Saccharomyces cerevisiae S288C: one gene and its partners. The main gene of each other region encodes a partner of the protein of the gene in region 2 in a complex. Each region holds a gene or a part of one and is shown on either strand. Other genes may lie near its edges. A codon is read from its position in the direction of its gene.

What was found.
Region 1: CDC48 (region 2) and RKR1 share a complex: the UniProt entries of both Saccharomyces cerevisiae proteins name them as parts of the ribosome quality control complex.
Region 3: the proteins of CDC48 (region 2) and NPL4 are in contact, whole or in part, in a cryo-EM structure (PDB 8DAR), measured with the Saccharomyces cerevisiae proteins. Residues at the interface, in NP_010157.1 of Saccharomyces cerevisiae: Arg74 (codon at 2,831), Asn207 (codon at 2,432), Met208 (codon at 2,429), Asn209 (codon at 2,426), Arg266 (codon at 2,255), Asn270 (codon at 2,243), Gly273 (codon at 2,234), Ala274 (codon at 2,231), Phe275 (codon at 2,228), Phe276 (codon at 2,225), Phe277 (codon at 2,222), Leu278 (codon at 2,219), Ile279 (codon at 2,216), Asn280 (codon at 2,213), Glu283 (codon at 2,204), Lys287 (codon at 2,192), Ala289 (codon at 2,186), Gly290 (codon at 2,183), Glu291 (codon at 2,180), Ser294 (codon at 2,171), Asn295 (codon at 2,168), Arg297 (codon at 2,162), Lys298 (codon at 2,159), Ala299 (codon at 2,156), Glu302 (codon at 2,147), Lys305 (codon at 2,138), Asn306 (codon at 2,135); in NP_009729.1 of Saccharomyces cerevisiae: His205 (codon at 1,631), Asn206 (codon at 1,628), Gly207 (codon at 1,625), His208 (codon at 1,622), Glu209 (codon at 1,619), Trp211 (codon at 1,613), Pro212 (codon at 1,610), Arg213 (codon at 1,607), Gly214 (codon at 1,604), Ile215 (codon at 1,601), Cys216 (codon at 1,598), Ser217 (codon at 1,595), Lys218 (codon at 1,592), Gln220 (codon at 1,586), Ser222 (codon at 1,580), Ala223 (codon at 1,577), Thr428 (codon at 962), Tyr433 (codon at 947), Val434 (codon at 944), Pro435 (codon at 941), Glu436 (codon at 938), Phe438 (codon at 932), Lys450 (codon at 896).
Region 4: CDC48 (region 2) and RQC2 share a complex: the UniProt entries of both Saccharomyces cerevisiae proteins name them as parts of the ribosome quality control complex.

Annotation. Positions count from the first base shown.
Region 1 is NC_001145.3:762,818-769,968, forward strand, and holds RKR1 (ubiquitin-protein ligase RKR1), read right to left. Parts: upstream 5,223-7,151; coding exon 534-5,222; downstream 1-533. Other genes in the region: YMR247W-A (uncharacterized protein), read left to right, coding at 6,466-6,609. UniProt on the Saccharomyces cerevisiae protein: E3 ubiquitin-protein ligase component of the ribosome quality control complex (RQC), a ribosome-associated complex that mediates ubiquitination and extraction of incompletely synthesized nascent chains for proteasomal degradation.
Region 2 is NC_001136.10:235,615-240,486, forward strand, and holds CDC48 (AAA family ATPase CDC48), read right to left. Parts: upstream 3,051-4,872; coding exon 543-3,050; downstream 1-542. Other genes in the region: cyclin PCL2, read left to right, coding at 1-239; HNT1 (adenosine 5'-monophosphoramidase), read right to left, coding at 3,405-3,784, 3,896-3,992; YDL124W (aldo-keto reductase superfamily protein), read left to right, coding at 4,645-4,872. UniProt on the Saccharomyces cerevisiae protein: ATP-dependent chaperone which probably uses the energy provided by ATP hydrolysis to generate mechanical force to unfold substrate proteins, disassemble protein complexes, and disaggregate protein aggregates.
Region 3 is NC_001134.8:575,844-579,810, forward strand, and holds NPL4 (nuclear protein localization protein 4), read right to left. Parts: upstream 2,244-3,967; coding exon 501-2,243; downstream 1-500. Other genes in the region: adenyl-nucleotide exchange factor SSE2, read right to left, coding at 1-153; Sec63 complex subunit SEC66, read left to right, coding at 2,521-3,141; SMY2 (Smy2p), read right to left, coding at 3,307-3,967. UniProt on the Saccharomyces cerevisiae protein: Substrate-recruiting cofactor of the CDC48-NPL4-UFD1 segregase. Assists CDC48 in the dislocation of misfolded, polyubiquitinated ERAD substrates that are subsequently delivered to the proteasome for degradation.
Region 4 is NC_001148.4:535,315-540,754, forward strand, and holds RQC2 (Rqc2p), read right to left. Parts: upstream 3,623-5,440; coding exon 506-3,622; downstream 1-505. Other genes in the region: RET3 (coatomer subunit zeta), read left to right, coding at 1-273; CHL1 (DNA helicase), read left to right, coding at 4,071-5,440. UniProt on the Saccharomyces cerevisiae protein: Key component of the ribosome quality control complex (RQC), a ribosome-associated complex that mediates the extraction of incompletely synthesized nascent chains from stalled ribosomes as well as their ubiquitin-mediated proteasomal degradation.

The DNA of each region.
Region 1 (7,151 bases), on a different chromosome or scaffold from region 2:
GCTTCCGTCATGCTACCTGAATATTTTAGGGTCCGGTCACTTAAAAATGAACGCGTTCATAGCAAGGCACATATATCCAAAGTTAAAATGAACAAAGTGCATCGCATAGTTGTATATGCAATACAATCAAATTTCCTCAAATAAAAAGAACAATTGAGAGAATGAAAAAGGAAGAAAAGAGTGATAATTTGAGAAAAAAATAGCTAAACAAAACGATAAATGATTTTGATTGAAATATTTCGGTGCAGTCCTTTTCCGAAAATTGGGGACATTCAATAGAATTTCATCAATGGTTATCCCTCTTTTAGTAGCTAAAAACTGAAAACAAGGCCTGAACTAAAAACCATTCTTCTTTCAAGTTCGATTTTTATCCTGAAAAAATCCTGAAGAGAAAAAATTTCCAGAATATCCGGGTGATGGGCTGGATTGGCAAGGTATAGGGCTGGATTGTATAATTTGTAAGAGAGCACAATAATAAAAGGAACTTTGTTTAAAAAATGTAGTACATTTATATGAAATTTATATGCGATAGTCTACCTTCTAAATGGAATTTCACTACGGCATAATGGACATGTATTGTTACCCGATGATCGAAACCACTTGTAAAGACATGCTCCGTGGAACTTATTTTTACAAGTCGGACATGTCTTCGAAGGTAGTTTCCTATCCACGGCATGTAGTATAGAGTAACATATGGCACATTCCTCGAAACCAGAAAATTGTAAGTGCACATTTTTAGTAAACAACTCCAACGAATCCAAAACGGATCCATTCATGCCTGTAATTACATGTTGTGTAGACATTATCCATTGTTTCCATTTTTGTTCACTTATACCAACTCTAGAGACGCCATTAACTTGGATATTTGTTAAAGGGTAGTTTTTTGGTAGTTTGAAGGAAATCTCCAACTTTTGGTCGTCAATCAAATAGCTTGCCTTCACTTCATTAGTAATATTATTTAATTTAATAGTCAAAGCATCATCATTAGAAGTCAGGCGGTCCATCTTAGAATTGATATCGTCAAATTCATTTTTGATCAAAATTGGGGAGATGAACTCTGAGACAAACTTTTCAATATCATTTTGTAATGTCCTATCTTTTATATTTAACCACCAAATACTCGTTAGACAACCGACGTTGTTAAACAACTGATAAAGTGTATGGCCCAAAAGTTTTTTACATTCTTCAAATATGTCTTCTTTATAAGGAGAGAAATTATTGCCGACAATGTTGTATTCCGAAATTTCCTTGGTGTCGACCTGTTTCCAAAACTCAGTATCTCTTAAATCTATTTGATCTGTTATGAAATCAAACATTCTATTGATTAAACCAGCTTCCTTTAATTGTTCAATAAATATTTGTCTCATATTATAAGACGTATCTTTGAAGTACATCAGTATCAAGTGCCAATACCATAGATATTTAATAAATGAATTTTTATTCTCGTATTCAAGGTATTCTTTTGGCACCTCATCAGTAACTTTTTGTAATAATTTTTGAGGTAGTTTAAATTTTGAGTTTACATCATTATCAGATGCACTACCATCTACGTCTGAGCCAGTTTGTTTTTGAATCCTCAGTTCATACTCAATTATAATATCCTGCTGTGTTTTTACCACCAAAGAACCCAACAAAGTAGTTAATAATCTTGATTGATTAATATTACTACCGATATCCTTATCATTCAATACAACCTCGAATATTCTTTTGTATTGAGATTCTAACTTTTTGAGTTCCATTGAGGAAATGACCTTGTACAATTTCTGGTAGAAGAGTGTGGATACTTGGTTATTTCTTTCTTGATTAAAGTTGAGAAACATCAGTTCAATCAAATTTTCTTGAATTTCATCACCATATTCTGAGATTTCCTCGCCATTTTTGGAAACGCCTTGCGACAATGTTTCATATAAGTTCAAACAGGAAGAGCGAAGTTCTAACAAATATAAAGTGTCATCAATTTGACACATCGATAGAGAGTCTGCCAGCAACCTTTCCGAAAGTTCAAAAGCTGTTATGCCCATATCTCTGACTCCTTCAAACCTCATCAGTTTGGTGAAAAAATCTAGTAGTAACAATCTAACGGTGCTAAAGCTAGGCTCGTAGGCAAGATCACTATCCAACCATTTTAGTATTGAACGGAATATCATGTTCAGTCTCTGCGGTGCTATAGGAACAAACTGTTTATCTGCCTGTGGGATATCCAGCAGATTATTTAAAAGAGCTAACGACTTGAATTCTTGATCGACAAGTTCTACTTCTCTAATCCCAATCAATTGAGATGCCAGCAATGTCCTTAATTTCGTTATCTCATCTTTTGAGTTGGACCTGTTAAACATCAATAGTAATATAGCACATAGGAGATAATCTTTATCAGTAGATTTTTGATCCCTCACAGTTTTCGTGACAAAACTTTCAACCGATGCTAATAGCCCATTTAATGTGGTGGATGAAACAGTATCAATGCTGTTCAATAGAACCTTATATAATACTCTTGAATAATAAAAAAAGTAGACAGAATTACTTTCAGCAATATCAAAAGTAAGCATAGCATCACCACCATTAGCAGGCTGAATAACGTTTCCAACAATATCAGAAAAGTTCAAATTTACTTTGCCATGTTTGAAAAAGGTATGCCCAAAATCATAGTAAAGATCATTTGGTTCCTCTGAAAGGCAATTATAATCAGTGACGAGCTCAGAAACTACAGTTATAAATGCAACAATATGGTTATTAACGCGCTCTGGAAGAGCATCAAGTAGGGCATCTAAGAATAGAGCATACCTGATGAGCTTTTGCATATTTTTTAAATTGATAGGCTTATCATCTGTAAGGAGCAAATGCGTGTTAGTACTTAAGCTGCTCACTAAGGATGACCTATAATCAATTGCTGGCATATATCTGGCAAAAACTTCGATTGCGTTAGCGGGAAAAAAAATCTGAGAAGTATCGTTGCAGCCATTAATTAGCTCCACGGCGTGTGTGACATATTTTTCTTTTGCCCCGGGGCTGAAATAAACCTGAGCATGTTGCAAAATCACTTGGGCCAACTTATTAGCGATTTCAGAATTCCCTTTAGCCAACTGTAATGACAACTTGAATAGTTTCTCATTAGTGTCTTCTGAAACTTCATACAATGCACAAGAAAGAAAATCGGTATTCAGCAATAACGTTGAAAAAAAAGTTTCATCTAATTTAGACAAAACAGCACAAAATTGTTCAACTTGGCCATTGGCAACTGCGCTTCGGTAAAGTGTGGTGATAGTCCTTTGATTTAAAAATTTATTATTACCTTTAAATATTTCCCCACTGTCGTCAAACTTATAATTTTTCATAAAGTCTTCAATGTACAATTCTAATTCTAGGGAATCTGATTTCATTAATTGTTGATAAATATCATTGTCCAACTCATTCATTGTGGCTAAAATTATTGTCTTTGGTAAGTTAAAAGAAAGCGCAACGATAAAAAAGTCTTCCAACGAAGTAATCGCGTCAGTATTCATTTTGAAAAATTTGGAGTTTGAGTACTGTGCCATGATACCAGCAAAGTTTTGATATGTTGATTCTTGGACCAACGTTGGAATTTCGTTTATAAATTTCCCTATCTTCCCATTCAAGAAAATCATATCTGAATCTAAAAAGTAATTGAGAGCATCATATACACCGTCGTATTTGTTGAAAACATTTGAGGGATCTGTTTCGATTAATTGCACAAAAAAATCGAATAAACGACTAATTGCGGATTCGTTATTAGGAGAAGTAACCAATAAAGCAAAAAGATTCTTCTCAAAGCTCACCTTTATTTTTCTTATGTCTTCGTCTGAAGTGAAGTAATCTTCAATCTCTCTCTCCCATTTATCGGGTGGAAAGACGCCACTAAGAGTCTGGTTCAGTTTTGTGTACTCAGATAAAGATTTCCCGCAAGACAGAGAGTTAAAAATCTCACTTTCCACCATTTTTTTCACTCTTTCTTCTGATGAATCCTCAGCGAACTTCAAAAAATTTGTCCAAAACTCATTAAGAACCTCAGCGCTGTTTCTCGCAGAAAAGCCCTTTTCATTCAGTCTTTGCACCGATTTTTGCCAAAATGGAAGCCATTCAAGATAATAATCAAGAAAACTGTGTCTTTTAGTCGAGCTGTACAATGCAAACACAGCATTGAAAAATCCTGGCGATGGTGAAGTACGGGAAACCGATAAAAATTTGAGTACTTTTTCTTTAGAAGATTTATCGTATGACCATATTGTCCCATCTTCATAGTCATCCAAGGTAGCTAAAAGGTTCAGTATTGATGGGAGAACAGGGCATACTTTTAGAATATTCTTTGACGTAATATGAGTCAACGATTTCAATAGTTTTTTCACCGCTAACTTCATTATATTTTTGTGGGAAGGCATGTAACCTCTTGTATAAAGAACATCAATCAATCGAAGAACTGTTTCGTAGGCATTTGTATTTTGCCCATTTTTTAAGTTAAGTAGTTTCCAGATTGACTCATCAGAAAGAATCACCTTAAGACTGGAAGAATTACGTTCTGAGACGTCTTTGTTATGAACAAAAAGCTTAATCAGCAGCAATACGGCACTTGCTATAACTCTGTGGTATCTAAACTCAGATTCTTCTTTACTGGAGTAACGTTCATCAGAAATGGTATCTTCATTCTCGTTTACAACAATCTCCTTTACTAAATTCAATAGTTGTTCTTGAAAAACAGCCCATAAGGCGTTAATTTTTGCTGGGTCTTTGTTGAAACACTCTGTTAATTCATTAAGAGAAGGTTTGGAAACACTATAATCGAGTTCGCATGTACCGAGAAGTATCAAAGGTATAAAATCCTTTAAAAACTTCGATATTTTCTTCCGAAGGCTTTTGACAAGCATTATAGTAATTTGATGTGATTGCAGTCTGATGACCTTGTAATCACTAATTATCAGTTTAGCATATATCTGCGACCAACAAAGAAGAAAAATGTCATTGAAAAAGTACTCATTCTGGTTAAAGTCGCTGATCAAATTGGAAAGATCCATTAAAGCTTTTTCTTTTGTAGTTTCATCTCTTTTCAGAAGAGATTTGAAAATGAGTTTCAGCTCGTTCGAGTACAAGGAGTTTAAAAGACTTGGATCCGGCAAACCATCAAAGTAGTTTAAGGATATTCTAACACCATTATGGCCGAGCCCTAAATCTGTGTTATACTGTTGAAATGTATTGATTCCACCAAACGACATTAAGAACCAACTATTGCTTGAACTTTTTTTGATGGCTTAGCAGATTTGAACTATTAAGAAGGACTTCTTCAGTATTGTATATATTGAAGAAAACCATCTGAAGTTGCAACATTTGAATTTTTCCTATGACGTTTTTTTTCCTCGCTTCATCAATATTTTTCAGTTTTCCATGTTGGGGCATAATCTGGGTTAACTCGAATTGACAAGTATATAGTCAAGCTGGAGGTAAGAAGTACGTAACATTTAAAGAGCATTGTGACGATATTCTGTTCTTGATTAACTATAATTTTAAATATGAAGTTACACTAATTGCAAAGTAGCAAAAAATTTGGACGAGTCCGGAATCGAACCGGAGACCTCTCCCATGCTAAGGGAGCGCGCTACCGACTACGCCACACGCCCATTTCTTATTGTAATTTCTAGCCACTGTAAAAAGTGAAATCAGTTTAAAATGGAAGTGTCTATCAAAACTTACTATCCACTATCAAGTAATTACTCATGATTGTCGTGTTGGAATAAAAATCAACTATCATCTACTAACTAGTATTTACGTTACTAGTATATTATCATATACGGTGTTAGAAGATGACGCAAATGATGAGAAATAGTCATCTAAATTAGTGGAAGCTGAAACGCAAGGATTGATAATGTAATAGGATCAATGAATATTAACATATAAAACGATGATAATAATATTTATAGAATTGTGTAGAATTGCAGATTCCCTTTTATGGATTCCTAAATCCTCGAGGAGAACTTCTAGTATATCTACATACCTAATATTATAGCCTTAATCACAATGGAATCCCAACAATTACATCAAAATCCACATTCTCTACATGTCGGAAGAGGAACCACCTACCCCCTATAGTCTAGCATCCATCTTATTACATATACGACGTAGAAATATGGCATAAAGGTAAAGATTTAAAAGCTGCCATCAAATTTAATGGGGGTGGAACGCACGACTTGATAATGCAATAGGATAATGAGTGACAACATATAAAGTGGAACGAGAAACCATAATATTATTATGAAGAATCATCGATCCTTTTATGGATTCCTATATTTTCGAGTAAAACTTAAGGTATATTCGGTATAAGATAATGTTGTCCAAATTGTATTGTTATGGAAATGGTATTCAACAACTATCTCAAAAGTCACCTATTTCCCGTGCTTTTCGCATTCTATCACCTGTATTATTATATTGCATGATATCAAAAAGATGAATCATTCAGTGTAAATGGCACACAAATGTGCAAGTGCCAAGCTATTGAGTGGAATAATGGCCTTGTTATTTAATGGTAAGAGCCTTCTGAGGCCAATCTGCCTTCACGTACACAACCACCTTGTTAGTAACAGTGATACCAACATAGTTTGGCCGTGAGGCTAACCTTAGTGGTTTATTGCAATACTCAATACTGTTCTTAGACAATTATCCAACCATCGCCATTAAATGATAAAAAAATAAATTGACTGCTTAATTTTGCTGATACAATGCACTATATTATCGGCTGATGTAATGGTATTGTTATTCAACCTCCTCTCGGCATTGCAACATACTAATAGCCACCCTAGGGTGTCATTAGCATGCCTATACCGAGGCATACGAAAGCAACTAGCCATCAATTCCATCACCCTGTCATTCAACTCCGCTTCATGATCAGGACAGTTTGCACGTTATCAGATAAACTATGATACCGCTATTATTGAACTCTCTATGATATTCTATGAGCGTTTCTATTAAAAAGCTTGAGAGAACAGTAGGTTCCACTTGAGCTACATCTGGGTTGATAGTAGGGTCTGACATTGTTACTGACTGACATTCGCATAATTTGGTACCGGTACAAGCTTTGGCACATGTTCGTGATACCTTCGTCTGGTTTATTCATTGGCGCCAGTTCTCCCATTTTGGACGATTCTTTTCAA
Region 2 (4,872 bases):
GAATACGAACTTTGCCCGAACTACACGAATCCAATAACATTAGCGACAAGTTTTCTCCGCGAACATACAACATAGACTCCAAACACGATAACAAGGAAAATAGGCCAATACCGACAATTAAGCCTTTTAATTTTAGTAAAGCGCGCCCTGTGATCTTGAAAACTGGGTTAAACAAACAGATAATAAAAGAAGATACAAAAGTAAAGAAATCGAATTGGTCAAATTACTTCAAATCGTGATTTTAAATGTCGAAATTATGCCTGGCCTGCGTTTCTTCATGGCACTTTCGGAAAAGGCGGAAGAACACAGGTAAATGTTCTTACGACCGAGGTCCTACAGCCTCCCTTTTTTCTTATTTTACATATTAATATACATAAATATACCATAATGCATTCTTTTTCTAATGATTTAGCTCTCCTTTTTTTGACAAATTTGAAAATAAATATAAAAAGGGCCATAAAATATTGAGTTAAAATTGACGATTTTTTTTATAGAAATGACTTGAATTTACGATTTAAAATAAAAATATACCTGGCATATAACTAACTATACAAATCATCATCTTCCTCCGCATTAGAACCAAATGCAGCACCTGCTCCACTTGGAGCACTATTATTACTGTTAGCATTGTCCGTAGCCGTAGTACCTAATGGAGCGTCATTAAAGTTGAAATTACTGAATTGACCTCTAGATGCTTTCATTTGCTGTGAGTATGCTTCATAACGACGCAATTCAGCATCTGAAACAGAACGTTTAGCGGTCTTCATAGCTTCTGCGAAATGCTCCTTTGTAATATATGGAACAGGATCTACTTCTGGTTCTTGTTCAGCCTTTGCTCCCTCATCTGTCATTTCCACGTCTTCACCTTCTACTTTCACTTCCTTTTCAGCTTCGTGTTGTCTGTGAGCTTCGATAGAATCCTTGATAGCGTATTTAGCAGCCCTCTGCACAATATAGAGTAAATCAGCACCAGAGAAACCTTGAGTGGCCTTGGCAATCGCAGTTAACTCTAGCCCTGGTTCTAGTGGTGTTTTCCTTAATTGAGCATTTAGAATAGATAATCTAGCGTTTTCATCTGGCAATGGAACATAAATTAATTGATCCAATCTGCCAGGTCTTAAAATAGCAGGATCAATTTGATCTGGCCTATTGGTGGCACCAATCACGAACACATTTTTCTTAGCATTCATACCATCCATTTCTGTTAATAGTTGGTTGACGACTCTATCCGAAGCACCACCAGCATCACCCAAGGAACCACCTCTTGCCTTGGCAATGGAGTCTAATTCATCTAGAAAAACGACGGTTGGTGCAGCTGCTCTTGCCTTATCAAAAATATCACGGATGTTAGATTCCGATTCACCATACCACATACTCAATAATTCTGGACCTTTGACTGAGATAAAGTTGGCAGAAACCTCAGTAGCTACAGCTTTTGCTAACAAAGTTTTACCTGTACCTGGTGGACCGTAGAACAACACACCCTTTGATGGTGATAACCCAAACTTTGTGTATTGGTCTGGATGTAAGACTGGGTATTCTACAGTTTCCTTCAATTCCTCCTTGATTTCATCTAGGCCACCAACGTCATCCCAAGTAACATTGACACTTTCAACAACGGTTTCACGCAATGCAGATGGGTTTGAATTGCCCAATGCGAATCTGAAGTTGTCCATGGTGACTCCTAAAGAATCGAGCACCTCTGCATCAATTTCATCTTCATCTAAATCTATCAAGTCCATTTTTTCACGGATCTGTTGCATGGCAGCTTCAGAACACAAAGAGGCAATATCAGCACCCACGTAACCGTGTGTTTCAGCAGCCAATGCTTCCAAATCAACATCATCAGCCAACTTCATGTTCTTGGTGTGAATACGTAGAACTTCAAGTCTACCTGTAGCATCTGGGATACCAATGTCGACTTCACGATCGAATCTACCAAATCTTCTTAAAGCGGGATCAATCGAATTTGGTCTATTGGTAGCAGCAATGACAACAACATTAGATCTTGCCTTCATACCATCCATTAAAGTTAACAATTGAGAGACAACTCTTCTCTCAACTTCACCATTAGTCTTGTCTCTCTTTGGAGCTATAGAATCGATTTCATCGATAAAAATGATGGCTGGAGCGTTCTTTTCGGCTTCTTCAAAGGCCTTTCTTAAGTTAGACTCTGATTCACCAGCCATTTTTGACATGACTTCTGGACCATTAATTAAGAAAAAAAAGGCACCGGTCTCATTAGCAACAGCTCTTGCCATCAAGGTTTTACCAGTACCAGGGGGACCATACATCAAAACACCTCTTGGTGGCTTGATACCGATAGCCTTGAACAACTGAGGATGTCTCAATGGTAGTTCAACCATTTCCCTAATTTGAGCCATTTGCTTACGACAACCACCAATATCATCGTAACCCACCTCATTCATATTATTTTCTTCATCTTCCCTGTTGATTGGCTCACCTTCCCAGTGAATAATAGTATCCTGAGCAACGACGGCATATTCTTCAGGTTCGACATCCACAACCTTGAATTCGACTTGTCTCATACCGCCTCTGACAACAAAATGGTCGCCTTTCCTCACTGGTCTGTAGGCTTCCACAAAATAAGGCTTCAAAAAAACATCGAAAAGATTACCAGTTATACCTTCGATCGTATCAGCAATTGGTAACACAGAAATTCTAGTAGCGTATTTGATATCGGGGCAAGGATGAATTGTAACTAAATCACCCAGCCTAATACGTAAATTGTTACGAACTACACGGTTTATCCTGCATGCTCCGTCTTCTAATTCGTCATCGATCAACACAATTAAGACAGTATCTTTTCTCTTCTTGCCCTTAACGAGAACGGTGTCACCACGGAACAATTCCAATTTGTCCATGGTGTTAGAATTAATAGCAATGACAGAATTGTCATCATTGATAGCATCGTCCACCAAAAGCATGTTGTCCTTCTTCTTTCTTCTTAAAATGGCGGTGGCGGTTTTATCCTCCTCACGAGGGTCGACACCCGAGGCGTCCAAAAGTGGTTTATGTTCTTCACCCATGATTTGTATATCTGTCTTGTAGTTGAGCCAGTTATCGAGTCAATGGCGTTGAGTCAAATCTTAATAGAACTAGATTAATTGACTACATCAACTGCGGATCTCTTAAATACACGGCCCTGATATATGTCCTTTTTTGCCACCGAATTCACATTCGAGGGGTTGCCGGGTAGTGCGCAAAAGGCGGTAGGTTAAAAAGGAAGGAGTTAGAGCTGTTCATAAGGTATCGATAGCAACGATGGCTAGTAACATGATTGTTAGCATTATAGAGTGGATATGAATGGAAGCAAACACACCCATATGTATAAACTTAAATATGAAAAGAAAACGCTAAAAGAAATCATAGCATGCATTACTCTAATCGGAGCCTTCTAGTTTGGCAAGCAATTCCTTGTGTAGCTTGCCCAACTTATCGAAGTCCGTTTCTTGGGCTGGCCACCCTACAATCAAACCACTTTTCTCATCTCTCTTAGGAATCAAATGGAAGTGGACGTGGTCGACTTCTTGATGCGCAATTTTACCATTATTCTGCAACACATTATAAGTGTCCAACTTCATTGCCTTGGCCAGTCTCTTGGCAATCGGCATAGCATCGGTAAGGAATTCGTCCGGGATGTCATGCAACTTCGCACCATGGTACTTAGGAATGATTAAAGCATGACCTTCAGCAGTAGGTTGGATGTCCAAGAAAGCATACGAGTACTTTGTTTCAATCAATTTGAAGGATGGAATTTCGCCTGTTGCATAGCGGATCGATTGTTAGTATTCTGCTTTATGTATATGTACTACATAGAGACTATCGCCATCATTGGTGTGAGTGTAAGCTCTTTATTAGTAATGTGACATACTTTTAATAATCTTGCAAAAAATACAGGCAGCATCAAGCGTAGCAGGAGCAGACATTTTTGTTGTTGTTAGGTACGGTGCCGATATCAATGGCTCCATCAATGTTTCTTAAAAGTCTGGAAGGCGTGCTGATTGTCCTTTTACTTCATAATGTTCTCCGCTTTCCAGTCGAACACACATCACATTACACGATCGTACAGCAATGCTTCAGTAGGGCGGTAACTTCTTCAGAAGAGAACGGACCCGCCATTATTTCTGCAAGGAATATTCTGTAACGATTCGCACCATATCTTAAAGCTTCTCAAGCTTACTGTTTTATGTGACCTCCTTTTGTACTTTTCAAGTTCTGTAGACAAGTGTCAATTCAACCTTTGAGGCTACGTGGCCAACAAGGTCTTGCGCGATTTACCGGTGTTTCCTTTGCGCCCCCTGCTCATGCCATCAAAACGGCACGCTGTTTTGTAGAAGCCTCCATGCGTCTCCTATTTGGGTCCTTGCAAAATAGTCTAACGAAAGCGCGGAGAATTAACCGGAAAAAGGAAGTTGCCACACTCCCCTTACTAATCCACACCTAGGATCTCCTTTACTCGTATTTTGAATATCTACGAAAACACTCACATACGCTCATCCCATATATATATATATATATATACGGATATATTGATAGTCGGATACTACGTGGATATGGATACACATGTAAACGGTTGTGTTACCCTAAAGAAACGGAGGTCAGTTAACAACACTTTTACAGATGTCATTTCACCAACAGTTCTTTACCTTGAATAATGGAAATAAAATCCCCGCAATCGCCATCATTGGGACAGGTACTAGATGGTATAAAAACGAAGAAACGGATGCTACCTTTTCGAACAGTTTGGTCGAACAGATTGTTTATGCTCTGAAGTTACCTGGCATTATTCACATTGATGCTGCTGAGATCTACAGAACATATCCAGAAGTTGGGAAGGCACTTAGCCTC
Region 3 (3,967 bases), on a different chromosome or scaffold from region 2:
TTCACCTAAGTACCTATTTCTGGGGCCAAAGCCGACCAAGGATGGTGTAGACCTATTAGAAACTTCATTGACAACGACATCAATACCCCTATTTCTGGCAACTGCTAGTACTGAGTTATTGTTACCTAAATCTAAGCCAAATGGAGTGCTCATTATATTATATCCTTTGGTTACGTCTGTTACAGGTAAAAAAAAAAAAAAAAGGAAGTTTTAAGGGATATTTCCAAAATCTATATACAAGATTTCATAAATAAAAATCTCTAAACGGCAAAGTCCTTTGGTTTATATCAAGAGTACCTTAATATATACCAATTTGTAAAAGCGACTCCCAGTTATTGTTCCTTAAAACTCCTCGTATGATGTGATTTTTGGTAAGGGGACGTTCTAGAAACGTCTACTATTTTGGATGATTTACATAGTTTTAAAATAAAAAAGGCTCAATTTTACCTTCCGCGCATTTCTATTTTTTTAATCTAAAACCTCAAATCTTACAGTCTCTCCTAGCCGCTTTCCTGAAGGATCATGACTAACGTTTGCCAACCAGCCGATGAGACAAGTTTTAGTAGAGATTCTTCCCATTCATTTTTCACAGCAGATTCTATTAGTAACTTCCATTCGTCTGGAGAGAGTATCTGCAGAGAATTTATGTATAATAGTAAATGAAAGTTCGAGATTTTTTCATGCAAAAGATTGAAATCTCCACTTGAAGCCACATTGAATAAATACTTTTTTAATTCTTGATAATCTTGAGATTGCCCCATAGCTTGTCGATTGCTCCATGGAAATCCGGTGGAACTAACGAATTTCGAGTTGGTTTCCGTATCGGTATTCGGGAACCCATGAGTCAGCGTCACTAAAAGATAGTCTACCGGAAATGCAGGCTTCGCATTTTCCTTCACTGTTATACCATATTCATTCGACTTCATGTAAAATATCTCAGGTACATATCTTTCATCTGTAGTGTCATTAATATATGCCATTGAAGGAAATGTGGACCCACTTATCATATCTGCAGTAACCAATGCTTCAGCTTCTGTGGATACTTGGTAGCTCGAAATATCAATTTCACCTTCCAAATTACCTGATATAACGCAAGTTACAAACTTGGAAGAAAAAAAACCTTGTTCGCTATACTTGCTTACATTAGGATGCCTTGTTTGATGCCTAGCAGCCATAATAACTTCTAATGATGAAAGAAAAAACGAATCCTTATGTCTTTTGCAAAAAACAGACCCATCCCCAGCTCCCGCGTCAGATAAATCTGTAAATATTAGGCCAATTCGCGAAAGCCCCATTTCTTGAGCCTGTCTATCAATCTGTAGCATTTCATTCTTGACCTGTTCTACGTCCATGGTTAAACCGTCTTGCTCATCATGCTGAGGGGGCTCGTATATCGCCTCAACGACGGCCTTTATACCTAAAGGTGTGTTATCATACTTAGAATAAGATCCGTACATATAGCCAAATCTTTGCATACCCGTGTACCTCCACGCCTGAATAAATTCATTAATTATTTCACTCTTCTGAAATTCAACGTGGTCAACCATTCTAAATTCTTGCTGTTGTAATGTAATTGCCGATGGTTGACATTTAGAACATATCCCCCGAGGCCATGGTTCATGGCCATTATGGCAACGCTTATTGATTCTAAAATCAGGTTCTGAAAGAGGGGAAATATAAGAGCTGCCGTTCTCCTTCTTATTAGCATTTTCATTTAGCTTTTTAAGATATGAATGAAACGATATATGTTTGATCTTATTCTTCTCATGATATTCTTTGTCCCAAGGAGGTAAAGGCGAGCAGTATTCACACATACCTCTATCACCGTGCTTGCATAGTTTTGATTTTTGACGAGGAATTAATCCGTCCTCTTTCTCTAGTTCCTCATCTACAGCGAGTTCTTTGATCCTTAGTGGACCGTACCTGTGTTGACGAATTCCCTTGCTGTCAATACCTACGGATCCGATTTCAACATTGACACCATCTTTCTCATTAGCGGGCTTGTCCGAATAGTTAAGGATCAGCATGTCACCGTGCTTTAGTCCTAGATCCATCACTGTTCGATCAGCTAGTTCAGAAACAGCATGAATACCTTGACCGGGCTTCTCACAAACAGTAAATGTGTCGACATCGGCATTGGGGTCCAGATTACCCACCAACTTTTCAATGACCGTTCCGAAAAGGTCGTTTTCTTGACAAGAAACCCTGTGTGTACCGTTTTTTGATCTAAATCTGATAAGCATACTTCACTTAAATGTATATCGATATCAGTAGTATAGGGAAATTTTTCTTCAGAGTACTGTCCTATTATTTGCCACTCTTCGTTCTGTATGTTACGAGGGCGTTCCTTAAAATGGGTAGACGCATCTTATTACCCGCCAAAAAACGTCAAAAGTTTTAGGAACACGTCTAAAAGTTGAAATAATATGTGAAAAAATTGATGAAATATTAATGAAATGGCTTATTTAAACGAATTCAAGTACAGGAAAGAGGTACGCACAACTACTTGAGTTTGCCAATATGTCCGAATTTAATGAAACAAAATTCTCCAACAACGGGACGTTTTTTGAAACGGAAGAGCCAATTGTGGAGACGAAATCAATCTCCGTTTATACCCCACTCATATATGTCTTTATTCTGGTGGTGTCCCTTGTGATGTTTGCTTCAAGCTACAGAAAGAAGCAGGCCAAAAAAATTAGTGAGCAACCATCCATATTTGACGAAAACGATGCCCATGATCTGTATTTCCAAATAAAGGAAATGAGTGAAAATGAAAAAATTCACGAGAAGGTGTTGAAGGCCGCTTTATTGAACAGAGGAGCAGAATCTGTTAGACGATCATTAAAGTTAAAAGAGTTGGCTCCTCAGATAAACCTTCTATATAAAAATGGCTCTATTGGGGAGGATTACTGGAAGAGATTTGAAACTGAAGTTAAATTAATTGAATTGGAATTTAAAGATACTTTACAAGAAGCTGAAAGATTGCAACCGGGCTGGGTTCAATTGTTCGTTATGGTTTGTAAAGAAATTTGCTTTAATCAAGCTCTCTCTAGACGTTATCAATCAATCTTGAAACGGAAAGAAGTGTGTATTAAAGAGTGGGAGCTGAAAATAAATAATGATGGAAGATTAGTCAATTAGTGCCTACTGTGTGCAAAGATATGTATTCGCTCGTTCAGTGTTTTTTTAAAAATATGTATAGAATTTGTCATTATCTGCGTTAAAAAATAGTTATAAAGTATATACAATAACAATAAATGATAAAGAAATATGCAGTGAAAAGAAAAAATTATGAAGCTTTTCCTTTCAGTGTTTTCTACCCTTCTTCTTGCTCACTACTTGGAATTCCCAGCCGTCGTCATCATTGCCTGATAGAGCTAGCGCTTCATTCCAACTTAGTGGATCATCACCTTGTTTTTCGCACGCAACACGTCTTTTAATAAATTCAGTGGCAAATCTTCTACCATCCATAACGTCACTATTGGCATAAATTGTTTCTTGAATCAATTCTTTAGATTCTGGCCCCGTAGGTAAACTCAATAATAGTTCTAAGACATTGTTATTGGTTATTCCAGAATTTAATTTCATCTGTGATTTACACCATTTGATAAATTCTTGCCGGGGAGAAACATTGTTCATGCTAGCAAAGGTAGTGGTAGTAGAAGTTGTGCTAGTTTTTGCCGTTAATGAAGAATTTAAACTGGTATTGGTTTTTGAATATGGGGAGACAACGGTTCCTATAGGTGCTTTCCCTTTAGAAGTCACCGTAGTCCAAGAAGATGTGGTAGTAGATGCAGAGGATGTGGACTTTACTTGTTTGGAAGAACTCTGAACCTTTTCCCATAGTTTTTTCTGCTCTTCTATGAAATTTGGATCTTCCAACTCCTTTAACGGAGACGACTCTTTCATCCCTTTTGGGCTTTTTTGAAACTGAGATTTAATATCAATAGTTTGATTCGATGGTAGG
Region 4 (5,440 bases), on a different chromosome or scaffold from region 2:
TTTTCAGCAATCAGAGGAGCTTTGGATTTGATTTTGAACTCAGGAATGGACAAAAAAAACATCCAAGAAAACTATGATATGGTTTTATTAGCTATTGATGAAACCATTGATAATGGTGTTATCCTCGAAACTGACTCTAACACTATTGCATCCAGAGTTTCTAAACCACCTACGAACGAACCCCAAATGGCATTAGATTTGGATAAGGGTTTCTTAGGCGCGTGGGGTTTCGCAAAGAGCAAGTTTCAAGAAAGGTTACAGCAAGGCTTATGATCACAAGGCAAAGCGGATAGAAGAAAATTTTAGCTGGTCTTATATGGTATATATGCAGTGTCTTACTTTCTCCCTTCCATATATATGTATCTACTTATATATATAAGTATATGTTGCTCATTTAGAAATGATTGTCACCTCATGCTAATCATTTTATTCTTCTCGTTGGTCTGTGATGAAAAATAATGAAAAAATTATAATTGCTGTCTATTTTCTTTTCATCTCATATGATTTAGCGTTTTTTTTTGCCCTTCTTCGAAGAGTTACCACCGTTCTTGGTGGATTTCTGCCCAGCGATTGTTACTTTTAACTTGTCGACACAGAGCAGAAGAACCAAGTCCTGTTCCTTCAAGCCTTTAATCATTTCATGTTCTTGGGGCCAATCCATTTCGTTGTCAGTTGAAGAACCGTCTAGTGGTCTACTCTTGAAATAATGTAAAATTTCAGTTAAAGTCTTAGTTTTCTTCGCACTTCCCGGTTGTATTTTGACTTTGTATTTATATTTCAAAAGCGCAGGCCAGGGGGCAAATACTGGTATAATATCATCAACCACATCGCCCTTATCGAGAGATGGTTTTAATTCGGACTTGTGTTTATCATAGTTCACTCTTGCTTTCTCTTTTTTGGTGAATTTTAAAGCCTGTAGTCTTCTTTGTTTCTCGCGTTTATTCTTTCTATCTTCTCTAACTTCTCGCTTCATTATTTCTTCTTTCTTCCTTTGTTGCTGCTTTTCGATACCCTTCAAAGTACCCAAGGCCTCCAAACGCAAGAGACGTTCAGTTTCATCCTGGTCGGCGTATTTCTTTTGAATTTTCTTCAATTTTCCTCTTTTACCACGGACGTTACTGTTTATGTTTTCGATTAAAGATATCGGAACACCTGGTTCATCAAGGATACGCTGCGTACTGCTATTGTCATTTTTGGCTTTAGCATTTCCAGAATCAGAGTCGGTATCGGATGATATGGTGCAATGCTTTTCGATGTCTTTTTCAAGATTATCGTGTTCAAAACTGTTGTTTTTCGTGCTATCGTTTGAATCTCCACCCTTCTCTAACCCATTGACCTCGTTACTATCGTCTTCATCTTGCTGTTGCTCTTCTTCTTTTTCTTCTTCTTCTTTTTCTTCTTCTTCTTCTTCTTCTTCTTCTTCTTCTTCTTCTTCTTCTTCCTCTTCTTCTTCTTCTTCTTCTTCGTCATCATCACCATTATCCTCATTTCCACTGGTTTTCACTTTCCATAAAAATCCAAAACCCATCACAAGTTGAGCAGGGGGTAAATGGTTTTGATCATTCTCATTTTTCAACCGAAAGGCACCTTCTGGCAGAATGGAGTTATCAGAGCCATCGAATTTACTAACATTCTTTGCAAAGCACCACCATGGAGAAGAAGATATCTTCTTCGACCAAGCCTCGCTTGAGGACATGCATAGTATACCCGCTTGCATCAAAGTGTTCGGTGGAACTTCTGTTTTTTCTGGATTTTTGATCCATACATGAGAGTTAAAACTATTGGACATATAAATATCATCATCTTCAATATATTTTGAATAGATTTGATCTGTCTCAGCCGGACTTTTACCCATCATGACCAAAAATCCTTCACTTGAAATAAACCAACTATATTTTTCAAAAAAGTAAGGAGTGCGGATCTTTTTTAAGACACTGTGAGAATCTTTTAGCTTTTTTTTCAATTGTTGATCAATTTTGACTTCAATATTCTTCATAGCCTTGCCGACATTCTTTTCGACTTTTTTCTGCTTTTGAGCACTTGTTTTTTTGATATTGAAATATTCAGTGGCATTGGCATAAGCTGATAAACCAAGGTCAATTGTAACGTTTATCTTTTCATTAGATTTTCTTTTCATACTTTTTGTACTCCTCTCCTTCGAACTCTCCATGTCTTCTGAGTCTGAGTCACTAGAACTATCAGTAGTATTGCCTTCTGATTCATTGTCCTCGTCTGAAGAAGTGTTGAGTTCCTTGCTAGAGAGATCAAGCTTGACGCTAATTTTGTTCTGTTTCAAGTTCAAAGGCAAGTTCAAAAGCTGAGCAATTCTGTTGCCTTTTTTTTGTTCACTTTTAATTAGTTTCTCAATAGTGTTCCAGTCCATTTGTTGATCGATTAGACCCTGAACAGCAAGCTTAACTTCCTCTATTAAGGGTGCATTTTCAATTATGAGATGGCCTTTCCTTTCATTTAGTTCTTGGACGTCTAATAAAGCTTGTATTTTTCTATCATTTTCGGCACGAGCATCATCGATTTTCTTTTGCGCTTGCGATTCCTGATTTTGTATACGTAGAGCATACTTAGAGGATTCTATTGTTGAGAAAAATTTGTCTAGCGTCCTATTGTAAGGACCTTCAACTTCAATGATACAAGAAGAGTCAGTGTCTCCCCCATTTATATATGGCTTAAAGGGATGGAATGTATCATAAATAAATTCCAAATCGGCAGTATCTTTTTCAGAGATATAATTTTCATTTCTTTTGGCCAAAATGTAACCCTTTCTATCGGTGGTAGTTAAAAGTTGATTATATTCTAACTGAGTACTGTTTAGCAATTCGGCGAGTGAGTCTGTTTCCTCCAAAAGATTTAAACAAGACTCTGAAGGGTCGATATTGAATACCTTAAGGTTCTTTGATAATAAATCTGAAGACAAATGAGGGACTTTCGAAAGCAGCAGTTTATGGATGGAAGGTACTTTCACTTTTTTTTTTTTAGCGCCCTCCTTCCCTTGAATGTTAAGTTGCTTAATAACAGTAATGTCTGATTCATACTTGGCTTGAACTGCTTTTATCCACTCGTTGACTAGTTCAGAGGTGTATTCTGCCTTTCTGTTTTTTTCTATGGATTCATCAGCAGACTCGTTATTTGTGGTAAAAAGTGATTCGTCAAACATTTCATAAATTTGTCCGACCTTATTTTCATGCTCTAGAACGACTCTTTGCAAAGCCATAATTCTTCTGTTCTCATCTAGAAGAATGACATTCCCTGCACTGAAAAATTCCAAAACTAAATAGAAGTGGCCATCAGCAAATTGTAGAACAAGAATTCTATCCTGGTCTACTTGCTTTAAAGCTGTTAACCGTTTAGCTTTAAGATGCTTCCTTAGTTTGACAACAAAGCCGGAAGGAGTTGGAGGTATTGGCCTACTAAATTCAGTTAAGTAAATTCTTAAGCCACAATCGACAACAACATTGAGTTTAGAATCTGGTTTATTAAATTTCAGCAAAAATTGTTTTGAGGAATCGGCAATGTTATATATATTACTCAATCGGTAGCCTTCCAAATCCTGTTTCAGCTCTCTAGCCAACAGCAGTAAATCTAGGGCACTAATTCTTTGCTTCATCGCTATTAATCTCTTGCCTGCCTGACTTCTTAGACCGGATAATAAGTAGCAACTTTCTTTTCAATTTGCCATCGGATTCTTTTAAAACTATTTTTCAGGCGAAATTTCATTTTTCTATCCTTCCGCAGCATGAATGAAAAGTTCAAACGCGTCCAAATATACAATAGATATAGTGCATTAGTTAATGTCCGGAAGAGAAGTCGCAATTGTTGAAAAGGTTAAAACTCAGGCTATTTATTGAAAATCCAATTTTAATCGTAACCACAGAGTTGAGGTAGAGGCTCATTTGTTACCTGACAGTTGATGACATTATCACTGACATATTTAAATTCATCATTAGTGTAATCAGCACATGCTAAGTTGAGGGCACTACTGCAACTTCAGTTTGTTTCCTTAAAACCCAAAAGAGTAGAAAACCAGGCTAAAAACAGTCACACTAGTCCAAAAAATGGACAAAAAGGAATATTCGGAGACTTTCTATCATCCTTATAAGCCCTATGATATTCAGGTACAGTTAATGGAAACTGTATACAGAGTGCTATCCGAAGGGAAGAAAATAGCTATCCTGGAAAGCCCCACTGGGACAGGCAAGACGCTGTCCTTAATCTGTGCCACGATGACTTGGTTGAGAATGAATAAAGCAGATATTTTCACCCGCATGGAAACTAACATCAAAACGAATGAAGATGATAGTGAAAACCTAAGCGATGACGAGCCAGACTGGGTTATTGACACTTATCGAAAGTCTGTTTTACAAGAAAAGGTGGATTTGCTAAATGATTATGAGAAGCATTTAAACGAAATTAACACGACCAGTTGTAAGCAGTTGAAAACTATGTGTGATTTAGATAAAGAACATGGAAGATATAAATCAGTTGATCCATTAAGAAAGAAACGCAAAGGCGCTAGGCACCTTGATGTATCACTTGAAGAACAAGATTTTATTCCGCGCCCGTACGAATCAGATTCTGAAAACAATGATACCTCCAAAAGCACAAGAGGAGGAAGAATATCTGATAAAGATTACAAATTGAGTGAACTAAATTCACAAATAATAACACTTTTAGACAAAATTGATGGGAAGGTTTCGAGAGATCCAAACAATGGCGATCGCTTTGACGTTACAAATCAAAATCCAGTGAAAATATATTATGCATCCAGAACTTATTCACAATTAGGTCAATTTACTTCTCAGTTAAGATTACCCTCGTTCCCATCATCCTTTAGGGATAAGGTCCCAGATGAAAAGGTGAAGTACTTACCACTTGCTTCGAAAAAGCAGCTTTGTATTAATCCAAAAGTGATGAAGTGGAAAACATTGGAAGCTATTAATGACGCATGTGCGGACCTTAGACATAGTAAAGAGGGATGTATCTTTTATCAAAATACAAACGAATGGCGTCATTGTCCTGATACGTTAGCTCTCAGAGATATGATTTTTTCAGAAATTCAAGATATTGAAGATTTAGTTCCCCTGGGAAAATCTTTGGGAATTTGTCCCTATTACGCCTCGAGGGAGGCACTTCCTATTGCGGAGGTAGTGACTTTGCCATATCAATACTTACTTTCTGAGTCCACCCGTTCAAGTCTTCAAATAAACCTTGAAAATTCTATAGTAATTATTGATGAGGCTCATAATTTGATAGAAACAATAAATTCTATATATTCCTCTCAGATCTCGTTGGAGGACTTAAAGAATTGCCATAAGGGGATAGTAACTTATTTCAACAAATTTAAGTCCAGGCTCAATCCCGGTAACAGAGTAAATCTATTAAAGCTCAATTCACTTTTGATGACTCTGATTCAATTTATAGTTAA